Callithrix jacchus: one gene and its partner. The protein of the gene in region 1 purifies or fractionates together with the protein of each later gene. This does not show direct contact. Links are inferred from orthologs where the notes say so. Each region holds a gene or a part of one and is shown in the gene's direction. Other genes may lie near its edges.

The links. The genes of interacting proteins can lie anywhere in the genome.
Region 2: the proteins of TP53RK (region 1) and LAGE3 purify together in Homo sapiens (affinity purification with mass spectrometry; 5 studies listed by BioGRID and IntAct, with this or other methods). This does not show direct contact. The link is inferred for Callithrix jacchus from reciprocal best matches to the Homo sapiens genes TP53RK and LAGE3.

Annotation. Positions count from the first base shown.
Region 1 is NC_133506.1:41,907,460-41,917,552, reverse strand, and holds the start of TP53RK (EKC/KEOPS complex subunit TP53RK), read left to right. Parts: upstream 1-4,236; coding exon 4,237-4,519; intron 4,520-6,430; coding exon 6,431-6,870; coding exon of another isoform or gene 6,871-6,909; exon of another isoform or gene 6,910-7,016; intron 7,017-7,455; coding exon of another isoform or gene 7,456-7,485; exon of another isoform or gene 7,486-10,093. Other genes in the region: uncharacterized protein LOC144582859, read right to left, coding at 3,776-4,003, 4,110-4,238.
Region 2 is NC_133524.1:150,268,702-150,277,854, reverse strand, and holds LAGE3 (EKC/KEOPS complex subunit LAGE3), read left to right. Parts: upstream 1-4,733; 5' UTR 4,734-4,768; coding exon 4,769-4,956; intron 4,957-5,259; coding exon 5,260-5,388; intron 5,389-5,609; coding exon 5,610-5,724; 3' UTR 5,725-5,744; exon of another isoform or gene 5,745-5,998; 3' UTR 5,999-6,191; downstream 6,192-9,153. UniProt on the Homo sapiens protein: Component of the EKC/KEOPS complex that is required for the formation of a threonylcarbamoyl group on adenosine at position 37 (t(6)A37) in tRNAs that read codons beginning with adenine.

The DNA of each region.
Region 1 (10,093 bases):
AATACCCAAAAATTGGTCGGGTGTAGTGGTGGCACATGCCTGTGGCCCCAGCTACTTGGGAGGCTGAGGCACAAGAATCACTTGAACCTGGGAGGTGGAGGTTGCAGTGAGCCAAGATTGTACCATTGCACTCCAGTCTGGGCAACGGAATGAGACTCCATCTCATTAAAAAAAAAAAAAAAAGAAAAGAAAAAAGGTGGCAGTGCTAATAATAGTTATGCCAGGGCAACAGGCAAAAACTGGAGTGGTCCCTGGCACTCCAGATACATTCATTCTTCCCATCCCCCTTCCCTGCTTGATTTCACTCCATATTACCTGTTAGCTCTGCCAACGTCACATTTTCCTTACTTGTCTATTGTCGGTTTCCACCCACTAGAATATAAACTCCATGAAGGCAGTAATAATTATTCTCTATTTTGTTTACAGCTCTGTCCCCAGGGTCTAGCATAGTGCCTGGCCCATAGTAGCCACTCAGTAAATATTTATTGAATGAATTAGTGAATAAATGAATGAATGGGCATCTGGTACTGATGGGTGGAAATGAGGAAGAGGCCATAGGTTCTCTTTCAGGCTCAGAAAGGGCTGAAAAGTAGAAGCCTCCCTCTCCTTTACTGCTTGGCTATTCTACTCAGAGTCCAGCTGCTTATTCTACTGCCAGAGGTCAAGGCCTCAAAGGGCCATGGTTGGTCAGTCACCCCAGGCTCACAGCACCTCTCTTCCAGCAAGAATAATCCTTTGGGACCAGATCACTGTCCGTGTTTTTTCAGCTCCCAGCCTGTCCCCAGTGCCAACTTGCTCCAGCCATGTGGAACTGCTGCTCCTTGTCAAACGCAACCCTACCCTGTGTCTGTTCTTGCTGTCTGGAACCTGAGCACCCTCCCACTTCATCCCCTGATTGAACGTTCCAGCACCTGAACTCAATGAAGTTGAAGATACGGGAAAATGAGGCACGAGTTTGGCTGAAGTGTAAACAGGCACAAAACTTTGGGAGAGTAATTTGGCTGAGGTGTCAAATTTCAAAATGCTTGTCATCTACAACTCAGCAATATCACATGTCCTCAGAAACACTCATTCATGTGTACAAAGATGGCTGAATAACCCTGGTCACTGCAGCACTGTTTATAAGAGACCAAAAAAAAAAAAAGTAACAAAACTGGAGAATTAACATTGTTAAAATGTCCTACAGATTACATGTAATTCCTATCAACATTCCATTGACTTTTTTTGTAGAAATAAAAAAATTCTAAAATTTATGAAGAATCATAATAGACTCCATATAGTCAAAGCAGTCTTGAGTAAAAAGAACAAAGCCTGATGCATCATACTACCTGACTTCAAAATATACTACAAAGTGATCATAATCAAAACAGCATGCCACTGGCATAAAAGCCCACACACAGACCAATGGAACAGAATAGAGAGCCCAGAAATAAATCCACACACTTAACAGTCAATTGATTGTCATTGAACATGCCAAGAACACATAATGGAGAAAGGACAGTCTTTTCAATAAATGGTGTTAAGACAAATGGATATTCATGTGAAAGAAATTAGATCATATGCCAAAAATCAACTCAAAATGGATTCAACTTAAATGTAAGATCCAGAACTATACAACTATTATAAGAAAATGGCAAAATGCCATGGCATCGGTCTGAGCAATGACTTTTTGCATATGACCCCCAAAACACAAGGAGCAAAAGTGAAAACAGACAAATGGAATTGCATCAAACTAAAACGCTCCTGCAAAGTCAATAAAAAGAAAAGAGTGAAAAGACTAGCTACAGAATGGGAAAAAAAATTGTAAACCATACATCTGATAATGGGCTAATACCCAAATATATAAGGAACTCAATCCAATAGTAAGAAAGCACAGAGCCTGAATTAAAAATGGGCAAAAGATCCAAAAGATCTCAAAAGAAGACATAAAAATGGACAAGTATATTTTTTAAAATGCTTAACATCACTAATCATGAGAGAAATGCAAATTAAACCCACAATGAGATATCACCTCAGACCTGTTAGAATGGCTATGATAAAACATATGAAAGATAAAAAGTGTTGGCAGGGATGTGGAGGAAAGGGAACTCTTGCACTGTCGACAGGAATGTAAATTAGTACAGACATTATGGAAAACAGTATGGAGGTTCTTCAAAAAATTAAAAATAGAACTACCTTATAATTCAGCAACCCCACTACTGGGTACATAACCAAAGGAAACAAAATCAGTATATGGAAGAGACAGCTGCACTCCTACGTTAATTGCAGCATCATTCACAATAGCCAAGTCATAGACTCAATCTAAGTGTCCATCAATGAATGAACGGATAAAAAATGTGGTACATACATACACAATGGAATACTATTCAGCCTTTAAAAGTAACGAAACGAGGCTGGGCGCGGTGGCTCACGCCTATAATCCCAGCATTTTGGGAGGCAAAGGAGGGCGGATCACCTGAAGTCGGCAGTTCGATATCAGGGTGACCAACATGGAGAAACCCCATCTCTACTAAAAATACAAAATTAGCCAGGTGTGGTGGCGCATGCACCTGTAATCTCAGCTACTCGGGAGGCTGAGGAGGCAGGAGAATCTCTTGAACCCGGGAGGCAGAGGTTACGGTAAGCCAAGATTGTGCCATTGCACTCCAGCCTGGGCAACAACAGCAAAACTCGGTCTCACACATAAAATTAAAAAAAAGAAAGAAAAAGAAGCGTTGTTATTTTCAGCAACATGGATGGAACTGGAACGGGAACTGGAGGACATAAGCCAGGCACAGAAAGACAAATTATCTCATGGTCTCACTTACATAAGGAAGGTAAGAAAACTGAACTCACAAACTTTCAGTTAGACAAGAGGAATACATTCATGATATCTATTGAACATGGTGACTGTAGATAATAACACTGTGTTATATTGAAAAAATGCTAATAGATTTTAAGTGTCCTCAGCCCCGAAATGATCAGTATGTGAGGTAATATTAACGAGCTGGATTTAGCCATTCCACAATGTATACATATTTCAAAACATGTTATTTACGATAAATGCCTACCATTTTAAATTTTACCCCTGTATCTCTTCATTTGGCTGTTCATTTTTATCTCTTATACTATCTTTTATAAGAAACTGGTAATAGTAAAATGTTTTCCTGAAAAACAACAAACTGGAAACAACTGTTTCGCAACAGGTAGAAGGACGTGGTAGCTCTGCATGCACTGAAATAGAATATAGTCCGAGATAAATTGTCTAGGAGAATGAAAAGCAAGTTGCAAAAGAACCCACAGTATGATGTCGTTCATATTGGAAAAAACGCCACAACCATGTGTGAGTGTGCGCATTGAATAAAAGAAAAGCCTGGAAAGAAACTAACGGCCAGCGGCGTCACATTGCAAGGGCGATAGGCAGGTTTTGATGCATGTGTGTGTGTGCAAAGTTCTGTATTGTAAGAATTTGCTACGGCCTGTATTAGCTTTATAATGAAACAGGTAGAAACTGAAAAAGCTTAATTACTCCCAATTCAGTTTATGTTCTGTCTCCGGAAAATTTTCCGGGATTCCCCAGCCCCCACTCCCTGCCCCATCCTACCACCCCCATTGCCCTCTCTGAGTCTCCATTTTCTTTTCCGTAGGAAGGGTTTTCATCATTTATCCTTATTTCTTCTGAATGCACTAAATGGTGGTTAACCTAACACTTAAGACGATGTCGGAAACATGGGTTCATTGTCTTGACCCGCGCGACTCTGACTAGTTTGACTACATTCTGGGGAAAATTTAGGAGTCAGGGGAAGAGGAGTTCCAAAAACAAACTACTAGCGGGTGCAGCTGTCCAGGAAGACTCCTGAAAAGAGCAGAGAGCGTCCGACGTTTTTCTCGACAGGCGCCGAAGTTTTCCGGAAAGAGACAACCAGTTTGGAGGTGGGCCCCAAAGCCGGCTGCGAGAGTCACCGAAGATTTCCGGAGAGAGCCGAGGAGTGGGGAAGGGCCGCTTTCCGAGAGTTGCCGAACGCTACGGAGATAACGGAAGAGGTGGAAGGCGGGGCCACAAGAGCCCTTCCTGCAGGGAACCCAAGGCTTCAGAAAGAGCCTAAAAGTTGGGAGGCGTAGCCACTCACAGGCCGGAAGTTTCCGGGGTAGACGCGTTCGGGTAGCAGAAGTCCGAGGATTTCCGAAGCGAGCCGAAGCATCGCGATCGTTTTCAGGGACCGCTGATCGATCGGAACTGTTTCGCGGACCACAGTCATGGCGGCATCCAGAGCTGCTGTGTCGGACGGTGGCGAGGAACCAGCGCCGGAGGCTGAGGCTCTGGCCGCGGCCCGCGAGCGGAGCAGCAGCTTCTTGAGCGGCCTGGAGCTGGTGAAGCAGGGCGCTGAGGCGCGCGTATTCCGCGGCCGCTTCCAGGGTCGCGCGGCGGTGGTGAAGCACCGCTTCCCCAAGGGTTACCGGCACCCGGCGCTGGAGGCGCGGCTTGGCAGGCGACGGACTGTGCAGGAGGCCCGGGCCCTCCTCCGCTGCCGCCGCGCGGGTAAGGTGGGCCGGGATCCCGGCGTGGGTGGCCCCGAGGCTCTGGGGCTTGGACGAGTGAGGTACTCTTCTGCTCTCCTAGCCTTGATTTGCCTTAGTCTCTCCTTATGTGCCTTCTGCCGTGGCCTGCCTTTCGGAAATGTTATTCTTTCATACCTTTCGTCATTAAGTCTTAAGAAACCACGTGGCCGTGCAGGGTCAAGCGTTTGTCCTGGGCCGTTCTGCCTGGTTCAGATCTGGGCTCTGTCATTATTGCTCAGCGTTGAACATGTTTAACTTCCCTGAGCCTTGGTTTCCCTATTTGACTCGTTTCAATTTTCAATCATTATCTGTTTACTTATTAGTCTTAAGAAACAGATGTAATTAAATCTGGAGCCAGGCTCTTTGGGTTGATATACTAACTCTGCTGCTGCTTATGTAGCCTTTCAACAAGTTATTTAGCCTCTCACCCTCAGTTTTCTCACCTGTGAAATGGGAGACATAGTAGCAGTATCCATGTCGTAGGGATGTTGTGACCATTAGAGAAGGTATATGTGCCACGTATTATGTTCAAATGTGTGCCTGGCACGTAGTGCTCAATAAATGTTGGACTTCATTAAATTGCCTATTTATTTTTTCATTAAACATCATTGTGCGCCAGCACAATAAACCTTGTCCTCAGATGAGAAATTGGCACTCAAGAGAGAAGTAACTTGCCCAAGGTTACACAGCTACTAAGTGGCTGGTCCAGGCCCTCAGATCCGTATGCCCCTGACTCAGAAGCACTGGCTTTTCACTTTTACACTTCTTGCCTTTCTTTCTTTTATCAATATTTTTTAGACAGCGGTGGGCACCAGAACATTGTTAAGTGCTGGGAGATCTGGGGGAGGGGAGCCCAGAAATTCATTAGCCAACAAGCAGACACATGCCGCCCTTGTAAAGACAAGATTTCATGAAGTTATTTGTGTGTTCGTATTTCTGTTTTCCACCTCTTATGATATGTTATGTTAAGCAGGAATTGTATTATAACTGCCTCGTTTATTGCTGTATCCCCATTGATTTATCTCTAAGTTTCTAGAAAAGTATACTGAGCCTGGTTGACCTTCGGTAAAGATTCATTGAGTTTATTGGAGCTGTTGTTCCTATGTTATAGCAGCAGAAACTGAAGCTTAGAGAAGTTAATGTAACTTTAAGATTAGAGAACTAATAAGAAAAGGAGATGGGATTTGAACCCTGTCCTCTCTGAAGATGAACCTCAAAGTCAGCCCACTGCTTGGCCTCCTGTTTGTGACCTCATCAGTAGAACCTGCCCTGATTGGGCTGTGCCTTGCTCTTTATTTTCGTTTTTTGTTTTTGAGACAGTGTTTCGCTCTGTTACCAAGGCTGGAGTGGTGTAGTTGCGTGATCTCGGCTCACTGCAACTTCTACCCCCTGGGTTCAAGCTATTCTCCTGCCTCACCCTCCCAAGTAGCTGGTAGTACGAGCTACTTGTATTTTTGTATTTTTAGTAGAGATGGGGTTTGACCATGTTGGCCAGGCTGGTCTCGAACTTCTGACCTCAAGTGATCCGCCTGCCTCAGCCTCCCAAAGTGCTGGGATTACAGGTATGAGCCACTGCACCTGGCCTTTGTTTTTTTTTTTTTTTCAGGGAGAGAGTGTGATAAATGAAGTTCAGTGAGAAAGGGTGGTTTGGAAGGGAGGAGGAAGCTTTTGCCTCCTCAGCTTAGCTGTGGGGTGGTCCCAGGCATAGTCCTGCAGTGGGCGTGAGCAGGGGAATATTCCAGATGAGTTAAGTTGTGCCATTTCCTGCAGCATTCCTAAATCATCCTGAAATAAGTAGATATAGTTGGAAAAACTGGCTTAATCTTTGAAAATTAAGTTTACCATTAAAAAAGAAAATCCAGTGCAATAACCACTTATGTCTTGATTTCAGGAATATCTGCCCCAGTTGTCTTTTTTGTGGACTATGCTTCCAACTGCTTATATATGGAAGAAATTGAAGGCTCGGTGACTGTTCGAGATTATATTCAGTCCACTATGGAGACTGAAAAAACTCCCCAGAGCCTCTCCAACTTAGCCAAGGCAATTGGGCAGGTTTTGGCTCAAATGCACGATGAAGACCTCATTCATGGTGATCTCACCACCTCCAACATGCTCCTGAAACCACCCCTCGAACAGCTGAATATCGTGCTGATAGACTTTGGGCTGAGTTTCATTTCAGCACTTCCAGAGGATAAGGGAGTAGACCTCTACGTCCTGGAGAAGGCCTTCCTCAGTACCCATCCCAACACTGAAACTGTGTTTGAAGCCTTTCTGAAGAGCTACTCCACCTCCTCCAAAAAGGCCAGGCCAGTGCTAAAAAAATTAGATGAGGTACGCCTGAGAGGAAGAAAGAGGTCCATGGTTGGGTAGAAGAATGTGTCTGACAGCCAGACGCAGTGAAGCTGTTTTTTCAAAGTACATTTGAAGAAATGCGGCAAGTAAGAGAGGCGATCTAAGTAAAGGTGTTAAGATATTTTTAAGTGGTGTGTGATCATCCCTGGTGTGTCATTATCATCTGCACTACTGGAGCTTTCTATGTGTCTTAAGACATGTTCTAGGCAGAACTGGGTATTTAAAGTAAATCTAGGGCAGGCTTTCTCCCAGGTTGTGGCTTGTACATCTCAGGTACATGGGTGTAGCATTGAACCGCATGAGAACTTTATTCTCTTTTTAGTCCCTGTGAGACAAGGATGAAGTCTCAGTTGCTGATAGTATGTCTTTATCAGCCCCATAACCTAGTGTTTTTTTGTTGCACATGATATATTTGTCTTGAAACCAGTTTAATGGGAATACAACTAGAATTTTTAAAAATGAAGTAGAATTACAGAATATCAGCGTATTGTTTTACGAAACTTTCACATGTAGATAGAGACAAGGATGTTCTGAGTTTTGATGTCAAATATATTTCTTTTTCAGGGTCATGATCAAAAAATGAAAACTGCTTAACTCCAATTTCTCTCAAAAAAAACAGACTTAAAACTTTCGGGCACCTGAGATGCATGTTAACATTGTTTTTATTTTTATTGCTCCGTATTTCTGTGGTTACCTTCTAAGTAAGACAAGTGATATATAAAGTTCCTTTTAAGTTCATACAGGCAGGCAAACTGAGTTAATTTCTATCACAGGCAGTAAGTAGGTAGAGCCAAAATGGTAAAGTGACTTGTGAAGACTGAAGTTTGATGAAGTCTGGTTTAAGGCACAGGTGAACCGAGTGTGGATTTAGAAGTACTAGGAGCTAGCTTTTAACCTTGCCCAGCCTCAATTTCTTTCCCCAGAAGAAGCCATGTGTGGGTGGGGAGGGAAAGGAGGTATAAAATACCTTTCTTCCTTGTAAACTCCATTCAACAAACGTATTTTGAGTGCTTTCTGTGTTCCTTGGCACCGTAATGGGGATGGGGTACAGTGGTGAGCTAGGCAGACACAGCGTGCCTGTTCTTTTGTAAGAAAATTTATTTTTATAAAAAAATGTAAAGTATACTGTATGATGTTTTGATATACATTATGAAATGATTACTACAGTAATGAGCTAATTAACACCCATCACCTCACATAGTTACTGTCTCGTCTCTCAATATGGACATTTACAGCTGTGCGTTTCCCTCTGCACACTGCTTTCATCACACGCTATCAGTTTTGGTATTTTGTGCTTTTGTTTTCATTCATCTCAATGTATTTTCTAATTTCTCTTGTGATTTCTTCTTTGACCCCTTGATTGTTTAGAAATCTATATTTCCGCACACTTACGAATATTCCAGTTTTTCTTTTGTTACTCATTCCTACCTTCATTCCATTGTGTTCAGAGATGATACAGTCAGTGCCTGTTCACGTGAAGCAAACATTCTATAATAGTAGGACCAGTACCATGTCTGTTTCATTCATCACTGTCAGCACGCCCCAAGTGCCCAACATGGAGTGGATGGCCAGGAATGAGAGAAAACTTCTCTTCCTGGGTAGTTGTGACTAGTAGAGAGGAAAACTACTATTGCCTGCTTACAGCATGTCAGGCATTGGGCTAGGAATTTTTACACTGGATCTAAAATAACTCTTAAATTAGGCATTATCCCCATTTTATAGATGGAGAAACTGATCCCAAAAGGCGGGAACTTGTCCAAGACATCACAGGTAGCAAGGGGCACTTTTACCTGGCTCTGAATCAGTATTCTTTCCACTGTCAAATGAGATACGGGATATGGTGTCTCTTTATAGTACTGTAATAAGTATTGGCATATAACATTATTTTCTAGGAACTCCAAGGGCCACAGGAGCTGACGAGTTTTTAATTAATATTCCCAACATTGACTGAGATGGCTCATTCCTCAGTTTCCTCACATGTACCATAAGGCTAGTACCTGCTTTGTGCTTTTGTGCATTAAATCAACAAATCCCTAGTTGATATGGTTTGGCTGTGTCCCCACCCAAATCTCTTCTTGAATTGTAGTTTCTGTGATCCTCACGTTGCAGGAGGGACCCAGTGGGAGGTAATTTGATCTTGGGGGCTGTTCTCGTGATAGTGAGTGAGTTCTCATGATAGTGAGTGAGTTCTCACAGGAGCTGATGGTTTTATAAGGGGCTTTTCTCTTGTTCAGTACTTCTTCCTGCTGCCATATTAAGGACGTTTTTGGCTCCCCTTTGGCCATGATTGTAAGTTTCCTGAGCATCCCCAGCCATGCTGAACTGTGAGTAATTAAATTTCTCCTTTATAAATTACCCAGCCTCGGATATGACTTTATTAGCAGTGTGAGAATGGACAAATAAGTACTCACTATGTGCCAGGCACTGGAGATTACTATAATAGAGGGGAACATGAAGCTTACTTTCCTGGGGAACATAAGACAGTTTCAGACAGTGATGAGTGAAGATGTGAAGGAAAACCAGAAACAGGAGATGAAGGGAGCATATCCCAGGCAGGCTGTGGCGTATAAAGTTGGTGAAGAAGGAACATCCCTGACAGCAAGGTGGATGTGGCCAGCATCAGTGAGCAAGGAGCAGAACCTGAGATGGGAGAGGTAGAGCCAGATACTGAAGGGCCCTGTAACAAGGTTGCATTGCCAGATCCTGAAGGGCCCTGTAACAAGGTTTCATTGGTTGCTGGCAGAAAACCTAGAGGGCAAGAGTGGAAGCAGGAAACATGGAAGTGAGAAGGTAACAGACCAGCTGGACCAGTGAAAACATTAGCCAGGGTAGAAGCCTTGGCGAGCATGTTCCAGCTGCTTGGCACACGACCAGGCAGCCACCGAGGCAGGAAGAGTGATGGAGGAGCAGCCTTGTCTGGGGTAACACCGGAGGTTCCTTGTTTCATGGTCAGAGGTCAAGGATGTGGACCCACAAAGAGTGAGGTTAAGAACAGAAATTTCATAGGTGAAAGAGAGAATAGCTCTCTGCTACAAGAGGGGTCCTGGAAAAATGGGTTGCTGGATCTGCAGTGAAATGCAGGGGGTTTTATAGATGAGCTGGTGAGGAGGTTGTGTCTGATCTACAGAGGGAATGAAAAACTGGTTGGACCAGGTGTGCCATTTGCATAGAGTATGAATCTCTGGGCGCCCCCACCCCAATC
Region 2 (9,153 bases), on another chromosome or scaffold:
ATATTTTTTAACATAGTTTTGACTTTTGAACAATGTAAATATAGACGGCTGGGCATGGTGCCTCACACCTGTCACCCACCCTCTTTGGAAGGCTGAGGTGGGAGGCTTGCTTGAGGCCAGGAGTTCCAGAATAGCCTGGGAAACATAGTAAGACCCCGTCTCAACAACAACAACAGAAGGCCGGGTGCGGTGGCTCACACCTGTAATCCCAGCACTTTAGGAGGCCGAGGTGGGCGGATCACCTGAGATCGGGACTTCAAGACCAGTCTGATCAACACGGAGAAACCCTGTCTCTACTAAAAATACAAAATTAGTCAGGCGTGGTGATGCATGCCTGTAATCTCAGCGACTTGGGGGGCTGAGGCAGGAGAATTGCTTGAACCTGGGAGACAGAGGTTGCAGTGAGCTGAGATCACGCCATCGCACTCCAGCCTGGGTGACAAGAGCAAAACCGTCTCAAAAAAAATATAGGTGGCCAGATGCAATGGGAGGCCACAGTGGGCAGATAGCTTGAGCCCAGGAGTTTGACAGCGGCCTGGGCAACATAGAGAGATCCCAGTCCCTACAAAAAATACAAAAATCAGCCAGGTATGGTGGTGCACGCCTGTAGTTCCACCTACCCAGGAGGCTGAGGTGAGAGGGTCACCTGAGCCCAGGGAGGTCGAGGTTGCAGCAAACCACGATTATGCCACTGCACTCCAGCCTGGGTTACAGAGTGAGACCCTGTCTCTCAAAAACAAAAACAAAAGGCCAGGTACAGTGGCTCAGGCCCTAATCCCAGCACTTTGGGAGGCCAAGGTGGGCAGATCACCTGAAGTCAGGAGTTCGAGACCAGCCTGACAAACATGGTGAAGCCCGTCTCTACTAAAAAATACAAAATTAGCTAGGCGTGGTGGTGCATGCCTGTAATTCCAGCTACTTGTGAGGCTGAGGCAGGAGAATCGCTTGAACCCGGGAGGCAGAGGTTGCAGTGAGCCAAGATTGCACCACTTCACTGCAGCCTGGGTGACAAGAGCAAAACTGTCTCAAAAAAAATTAGTCTGTTTCATTCAAGAAGCAACAAACTACCTACGGTACATACTGTACCATCCTAAGCATTAGGGATATGGCACTGAAGGAAAACAACGGTACAGGAGATTCGATGAACAGATTATTCCAAATACTATATGGCCAGGAGCGGTAGCTCATGCCTGTAATCCCAGCGCTTTGGGAGGTGAGGTGGGCGATCACTTGGGCCCAGGAGTTGGAGACCAGCACAGGCAACATAGTGAAACCCCACCTCTACCAAAAACACAAAAATTAGGGGTTGGGGACAAAAAAATTACAATTAGCTGGGCATGGTGGCACACAGCTGTACCACACCTGTAGTCCCAGCTACTTGGGAGGCTGAGGCAAGATAATTGCTTGAGTTCAGGAAGTGGAAGTTGTAGTGAATGAGACTGTGCCACTGCACTCCAGCCTGGGCAACAGAGCAAGTCTCTGTCTCAAAAATAATAATAATAATAAGGCCGAAGGCTGGGCGTGGTGGCTCACACCTTAATCCCAGCACTTTGGGAGGCTCAGGCGGGAGGATCACAAGGTCAAGAGATCTAGACCAGAGGCGGGCGGATCACAAGGTCAAGAGATCGAGACCATCCTGGCCAACATGGTGAAACCCCATCTCTACTAAAAATACAAAAATTAGCTTGGTGTGGTGGCACACAACTGTAGTCCCAGCTACTTGGGAGGCTGACGCAGGAGAATCGCTTGAACGCGGGAGGCAGAGGTTGCAGTGAGCCAAATCACACCACTGCACTCCAGCCGGGCAACAGAGCGAGACTCCATCAAAAAAAAAGAAGAAGGAAAAAGAAGTGAGAAAGAGAGAAAAGAAAGAAGGAAAGAGGGAGGAGAGGGAGGAAAGAAATACTCTATAGCAAATTGAAATGGGCAAATGTGATGAAGAATGCCTGGGGGTGCTGAGTTATACTGGTTATCCTGAAGGCCTCTTGGAGGTGACACTGGAGCCAAGGTCCTAATAATGAGGAGGAGCTAGCCATGGGAAAGTTTGGGGACAGTCTTACAAATAGAAGAGTAAGTGCAAAGGTCTGGGGTCAGGCTGCCCTTGGTCGGAAGCAGAGAGAAGGTCCCAGACGCAGGAGAAGGAGCTGGGACTTTTATAAGATATAGCAGGACTTTATTCCAAGTGCAAAAGGAAATCATTCTAGGGTTTTAACCAGAGATGTGATCCCATGCAATGTTTTTTTTTTTTTTCGAGACAGAGTCTCACTCTGTTGCCCAGGCTGGAGTGCAGTGGTACAATCTCAGCTCACTGCAACCTCCACCTCCCAGGCTCAAGAGATTCTCCTGCCTAAGCCTCCTGAGTAGCTGGGACTACAGGTACACACCACCATACCCAGCTATTTTTTTTTTTTTTGTATTTTTGGTAGAGATGAGGTTTCACTATGTTGGCCAGGATGGTCTGGATCTCTTGACCTCGTGATTAGCCCGCCTCAGACTCCCAAAGTGCTCGGATTATAGGTGTGAGCCACCGCACCTGGCCAATACTTTTTTTTTTTTTGAGACGGAGTTTTCGCTCTTATTACCCAGGCTGGAGTGCAATGGCGTGATCTCGGCTCACCGCAACCTCTGCTTCCTGGGTTCAAGGAATTCTCCTGCCTCAGCTTTCCAAGTAGGCGTGCACCACATGCCCAGCTAATTTTTGTATTTTTAGTAGAGATGGGGTTTCACCATGTTGACTAGGATAGTCTGGATCTCTTGACCTCATGATCCACCCGCCTTGGCCTCCCAAAGTGCTGGGATTATAGACATGAGCCACCGCGCCCAGCCAATACTTCTTTTTTTTTTTTTACTGTAAATGTCATAAAAACCCACTTTGGAAAAATTGGAGGTAAAACTAAAAGTAAATTAAAATCACCCCTATCCTATTATGCAGAGATCATGAGGATTTACATGTTGCTGTATGCTCTAGGATTTCTCTACATGTGTACAGTAAGAGACTAACTTGGCCTTTTCTTTTCTTTTTATTTTTTGAGGCGGGGTCTCGCTCTATCAACCAGGCTGGAGTGCAGTGGGTTGATCACGGCTAACTGCAGCCTCTGCGTCCCGGGCTCAGGCTATCCTCCTATCTCAGCCTCCCTAGTAGCCGGGACCACAGGTACGCATTTTTTTCTGGAGACATGGTTTCACTATGTTGCCCAGGCTGTTGTCGAAATCCTGGCTCAAGCAATCCACCCTCTTCAGTCCCCCAAGTAGATGGGACTACAGGCATGCTCCACCATGCCCAGCTAATTTTTAAAATTTATTTTTGGCCAGGTGCGGTGTTGCGTGCCTGTAGTCCCAGCTACTCGGGAGGCTGAGGCTGAAGGATCGCTTGAGCCCAGGAGTTCTGGGCTGTAGTGCACTATGCTGATCGGGTGTCCGCACTAAGTTGAGCATAAATAGGGTGACCTCCCGGGAACGGGGAACCACCAGGTCGCCTAAGGAGGGGTGAACCGGCCCAGGTTGGAAATGGAGCAGGTCAAATCCAGTGCTGATCAGTAGTATTGCACCTGTGGATAGCTACTGCACTCCAGTCTGGACAACATAGTGAGACCCCGTTTCTAAAAAAAAAAAAAGAAAAGAAAGAAAAGAAAAGTTACTTTTGTATTTGTTGTAGAGATGTGGTCTCACTATGTTGCCCATGTTGGTCTTGAACTCCTGGGCTTAAGTGATCCTCCTCCCTTGGCCTTCCAAAGTGCTGGGATTACAGGCGGGAGCCACTTAGCCTGCCCTAAAGTGGCATTTTCTTTCTTTTTTTTTTGTAGAGACGGGATTTCTCCATGTTGGCCAGGCTGGTCTCGAACTACCGACCTGAGGTGATTCCCCCACCTCCGCCTCACAAAGTGCTGGCATTACAGGCGTGAGCCACCGCGCCCGGCCTAAAGTGGCATTTTCATACTCATAGTTGTGCAGTCTGATTTTCCACGTTATATGAGACCTAGGCACAGCGCCAATACTTGCGTTCAAGGCCGTCATATTTCGCCTCAGTGCAGGCGTTCTGCTGACAGGCTCCCGCTCCGCACAGCGCCCCCACCCCGCTCTAAAATGCCTCCTCTAAAATGTAAATCCGACTCTTTACCGTCCACTGTGAAGCCCCCTCGGTTGGACCATGGGGTCGTGGGCAAGAGCAGTATCCTTGTGGGGGGGTATCAGACCCCGCCACCGTCCCTCCGCGAGTCGCTGCATGCACGTTAGTGCCACATCTCCGGGGGATATTGGGTACCGGTAAGAAACAGGGCGGGAAGCGCCCAGACACCCTCGGGCCTCACTAGGGCCTCACTAGGGCCTGCCCGGCCGAGGCCACAGGCCCTAGACGGCGCAGGCGCGCTGCGGTCACAAGGCGCAGTTAGGGGCGGAGCCTTGCAGGGTGCGCCTCTGGGCTAGGCGACCACGGGGTCTTCAAAACCCCGTCAGGGCTGGCTTCCTGGGGCCTGACTGACTGTGGGTCACTTTGCACTGACGGCCTGGGATCGAGTTACGCGCGAAGGGACAGAGTTTCTGGAGGAGACCGCGGCCTCTTAACCGCTGACTCGGTCTCAGAAGGCACCCGGCAGGGCCGCTTGGCGGGAACTGACCACGCGCCAGGCAGGCTTCCCAAGAACGAGTGCCGGCGCGTGTGGGCGGAGTCGGGCGCAGGGGGCGGGGATTCGGGAAAGGGACCGGGAGAGAGGGCGGGGCGTGGGGGCCTGCGCCTCGGGGGTGGAGTCCGAGCTGCGTGGCGGCGGAGGTCATGCGGTGCGCGAATGCACACGCTGGCGCAGGCACAATTGGCAGGGATGGCCAGGGTGGCCACAGCTGCCCCAGGGGCACGGACACAGCGGGAGCTCCGGCTGACGAACCTTCCCCACCGCACCCGCCAGGTCCTGGCAGAGACGCCGCATCTGCGGCCAGGGGTTCAGGAATACGGCCGCACATATTGTATTCTTTCCAAGGGGAGGTCGGGAACAGACTGGCGGCTGCCTGCGCCGGGGCGAGGGCTGGATTCGGGGAGGAAGAAAGGAGGGCGGGCGGCGACCGGGGTAGACGAGCAGGGGTGCTCGGAGGAGGGGAAGAAATAGAAATGGAAGGAGAGAAGCCCTGCCAGCGGTGGCCTGGGCCACGTGAGGAGTAAAGCGAATGACTCTAGGTAGGGTGACCTGAGGGGGGGCTTCAGAGGATCAAGAAGGCCTGAGACATAGGCAAAGTCGTATCAGATGGCACCTTAACCGAATGCCCCCCCAGCACCCTTAGTGTGCCTTTCCCGACCCCCTTGGAGGCGGAAATCGCGCATGGGTCCCTGGCTCCAGATGCCGAGCCCCACCAAAGGGTGATTGGGAAGGATCTCACAGTGAGCGGCAGGATCCTGACCGTGTAAGTTCTGAAAGGGGCTGGAGTTGGGGGAGGCAACCGATGGAGACGTAGGGGGCACCCATGGATGAACCCTAAGGAGCGCCAGGTGCGCCGGGCCGGTCTCCACCTGAGGGGCTGTCTCATGGGCTCCCGAGGCTTTGCTGTAATGGGTGCCTGAGCGGCAGAGTGACGGACCAGGAGTTGTCACCTCCAATTTTATTTTCTTTATCCCTCACTTTTAGCCGCTGGAAAGCTGAAGACTGTCGCCTGCTCCGAATTTCCGTCATCAACTTTCTCGACCAGCTTTCCCTGGTGCTGCGGACCATGCAGCGCTTTGGGCCCCCCGTTCCCCGCTAAGCCTGGCCTGGGAAAATGGGGTGAGGTCTAATATTGCGTCTCCCTAGGTAGGGCACCCAGCTTTCCCTAGGGCAGGAGTTCCCACAGTTGCTATTTTCCTGTGAAAGCCTCATGGTCGGCCTGTACTGGCCCGTGGGTGCTCAGGGGCCCCTTGTTTGATCTGGTTCTTAAATGTTTGTTACCACAGAAAATAAAACTGAGCTACTGTTCCAAGTCTGAGTTTATTTCAGCTACAGCACCTCCCAATATTCTAGTCATTGTGCTTCGGTTACAGGGGAGGTTCTAGAATCCAGATATTCAAGGAAATTGAAGACAATTTAGGAAATGGAAGAAAATGAAAATCAGCTGGGCTCTCATTCAGCATCAACTACTGTCAACATTTTGGAATCCTTCCTTATAGTTACATTTATTACAGTTGTTTTCCCCTGAAGTTAATAGTAATAAACGTGTAACTGTAATATACAGCATATAATTTTTGCAAGTTTAGCGTTAATTTTTTTTCCTGAATTTTAAATCTAACATGAGCTTCTTTCCTCTAACAGTGAAGAAAGTGCTGGGTCAACTGACTAGTGTTTGGGGAAGGAGTTGGCTCCCTGTAAATACACTAAACTCAGTCTTAGGACTCTTTTGTAGATTCAATTGGATTTTCTGAGAGTGGAAATAAAGAGGTACAACTGCGTATCCTCAGAAAACATGGAAACGGTTTGATCCTTTTTAGTCTTTCTCTGAAGATGTGCTGCATGGGACTGGAGCAGCTCTTATGGTAGACTTCAGTTTCCCGGCTATGGAGGCAACAAACACCATTCAGGGCACCCTGGCCAATGCTGCCCAGGTGAATATGAGCTTCTGTATCCTGGTGGGTGGGGACAGCTGCTAGTCCCTGTCCTGCTTGCATACTGGAGTCACCTTTCTTCCTTTCCTGCTGGGGTGATGTCTTTCCCTGGCCTTGGGTAGCTTCCTCACATGCCTGTGCTCACTGGTGGTCTGCTGACACCAGAGGAGGACTCTCCGTGGATATCCAGGGTTTTTTCCCTGTGCAGCTCTCTTCTCTCTAGCTCCCCATCCTGCAAACTCCAGCTACTGGGACTCTCTGATTCAGAGTTTCAACTCATAAAGTCCGGGTATCTGCCTGGCTCCACCAGGAAACTCCACACAGGGCACTGGGCCAGTCACGTGGCTTACCTCAAGTGTTTCCCAGCTCCCACCTGTCACTGTCCCTCACTGCCCCACAGCCAGTTTATTGTGTTCCATATATTTGGTCTGGTTTGGGGGTTCTTTCATGTGGCAGTACATATTCAGTCCCTATTACTCCATAAGGAGGAACAGTTTCATTTTGCAGAATCTGGGGAGCTCTGCCAGTAGTGACAGTGGCACTGGTCTCGAGCTTATGAAGATGACACTTTGTTCTCTCCCTCTGTTTTACTCATTCCTTTCTTTCTTCCTTTCTTAATATTTTTTAAACGTTAATTATTGATGAACAGTTGGCAATTTAGATCTTTTACTTTTTAAAAAATTCTTTTTTTGGACACAGGGTCTGGCTCTTGTCACCTAGGCTGGCACAGTCATGGCTCACTGCAGCCTTGACCCTCTGGGCTCAGGCAATCCTCCCACCTCAGTCTCCTGAGTAACTGGGACCACAGGCACATGCCACCACACCTGGCTAATTTTGTGTTTTTTGTAGAGAGGGGTCTCACTATGTTGCCGAGGCTGGTTCTGAACTCCTGGGCTCAAATGATCTTCTTGTGTGGGCTTCCTAAAGTCCTGGGATGACAGGTGTGAGCCACCACACCCAGCCCCATATAACTCAAACCTAGCCCCAATTTAGCTCTGTCTCCCTTCCTCTTCCTCTCATGATGCTTCTGTTAGATTCCATTCATTTCTGAGAGATTTTCCCCTAAGGTTAAAAATTGCCTTGTTTTCCCATGGCTTAGTTATCATTATCATATGATGGTAACATTCTAAACCATCTCCCTTGCCCTCTGTCCTCCGTCTGGCTGGCTCTGTCTGGGCTGACTGCACAGCTGCCATCCCGCAATTTCTCTTTATCCTGGGTCAGAATCCAGTCCTGCCTTGCATGTCCTTCTCTTTACTGTTTTACTCCTTATTTGTGTAGTTGCTTGTTTTTTTAACTCAGGCTTATTAAGGCATCATTTACGTACTGTGAACTTCCCCTCTGCTGCATGGACAGGTCTCAGTTTTGGTAAACACCAACGGTCCTGTAACCACCACCGCTGTCTGGCGCCGTGGCCCCAGAGCTGGACAGTTGGAGCTGGCAGCTTTTAAACCCAAGTCAGATGGCCTCAGTTCTCTGCTCCAGGCCATCCAAGCCACCATATTTAAAACTGCATCTCACTGGGCTGGGCACAGTGGCTCACAACTGTAATCCCAGCATTTTGGGAGGCCAAGGCAGGAGGATCACTTGAGCCCAGGATTTCAAGACCAGCAAGACTCCATTTCTACTAAAGGAAGGAAAAAAAATAGCTGGGTTTGGTGGCAAGTACTTGTAGTCCCAGCTACTCAGAAGGCTGAGGCAGCTGGATCACTTGAGCCCAGCATGAGCAATAGGGCAAGATCCTGTCTCAAAAAAAAACATAAAAAGTAAAAAGAGTAAGATTCGATCTCACCTGGCCAGGTGTAGTGGCTCCTGCTGGTAATCCCAATACTTTGGGAGGCTGAGGGGTGAGGATCACCTGAGGCCAGGAATTCAAGACCAGCCTGAACAACATAGTGACACCCTATCTCTACAAAAAAAAAAAAACCAAACAAACAAACAAAAAAACACATGGTAGAGCAGAGTGCACTTACCCAGCTACTCAGGAGGCTGAGGTGGGAGGATCACTTGAGCCCAGCAGTTTGAGGCTTCACTGAGCTGTGATCTTGCCACTGCACTCCAGCCTGGGCAACAGAGCTACACTGTCTAAATAAAATTTTTTTTTCCACCTTCTCCCCACCTGCAATTTTTTTTTTTGGAGACAGAGTCTCACTCTGTTGCTCAGGCTGGAATGCAGTGGCATGATCTCAGCTCACTGCAACCTCCACCTCTCGGTTTCAAGCAATCCTCCTGCCTCAGCCTCCTGAGTATCTGGGATTAAAGTCATGTGCCACCATGCCTAGCTAAGTTTTTTTGTATTTTTTAATAGAGAAGGAGTTTCACCATGTTGGTCAGGCTGATCTCCAACTCCTGACCTTGTGATCCACCCGCCTCAGCCTCCCAAAGTGCTGGGATTACAGGCGTGAGCCACCTCACCTGGCTCGACCTGCATTACTTAACAGGCCTGGGAGTAAGACTTTGGTAGGTGAACCATGATGGGGGCTACAACCTGGACAGCACGCAGTGTCAGGTTTCGAAGGAGTTGGCCGCAGCTGAAGGCACTGGAGGGTTCTAAACCATGAGGCAACAGGATCTCTCTGCCTCCAACACTGAGAATA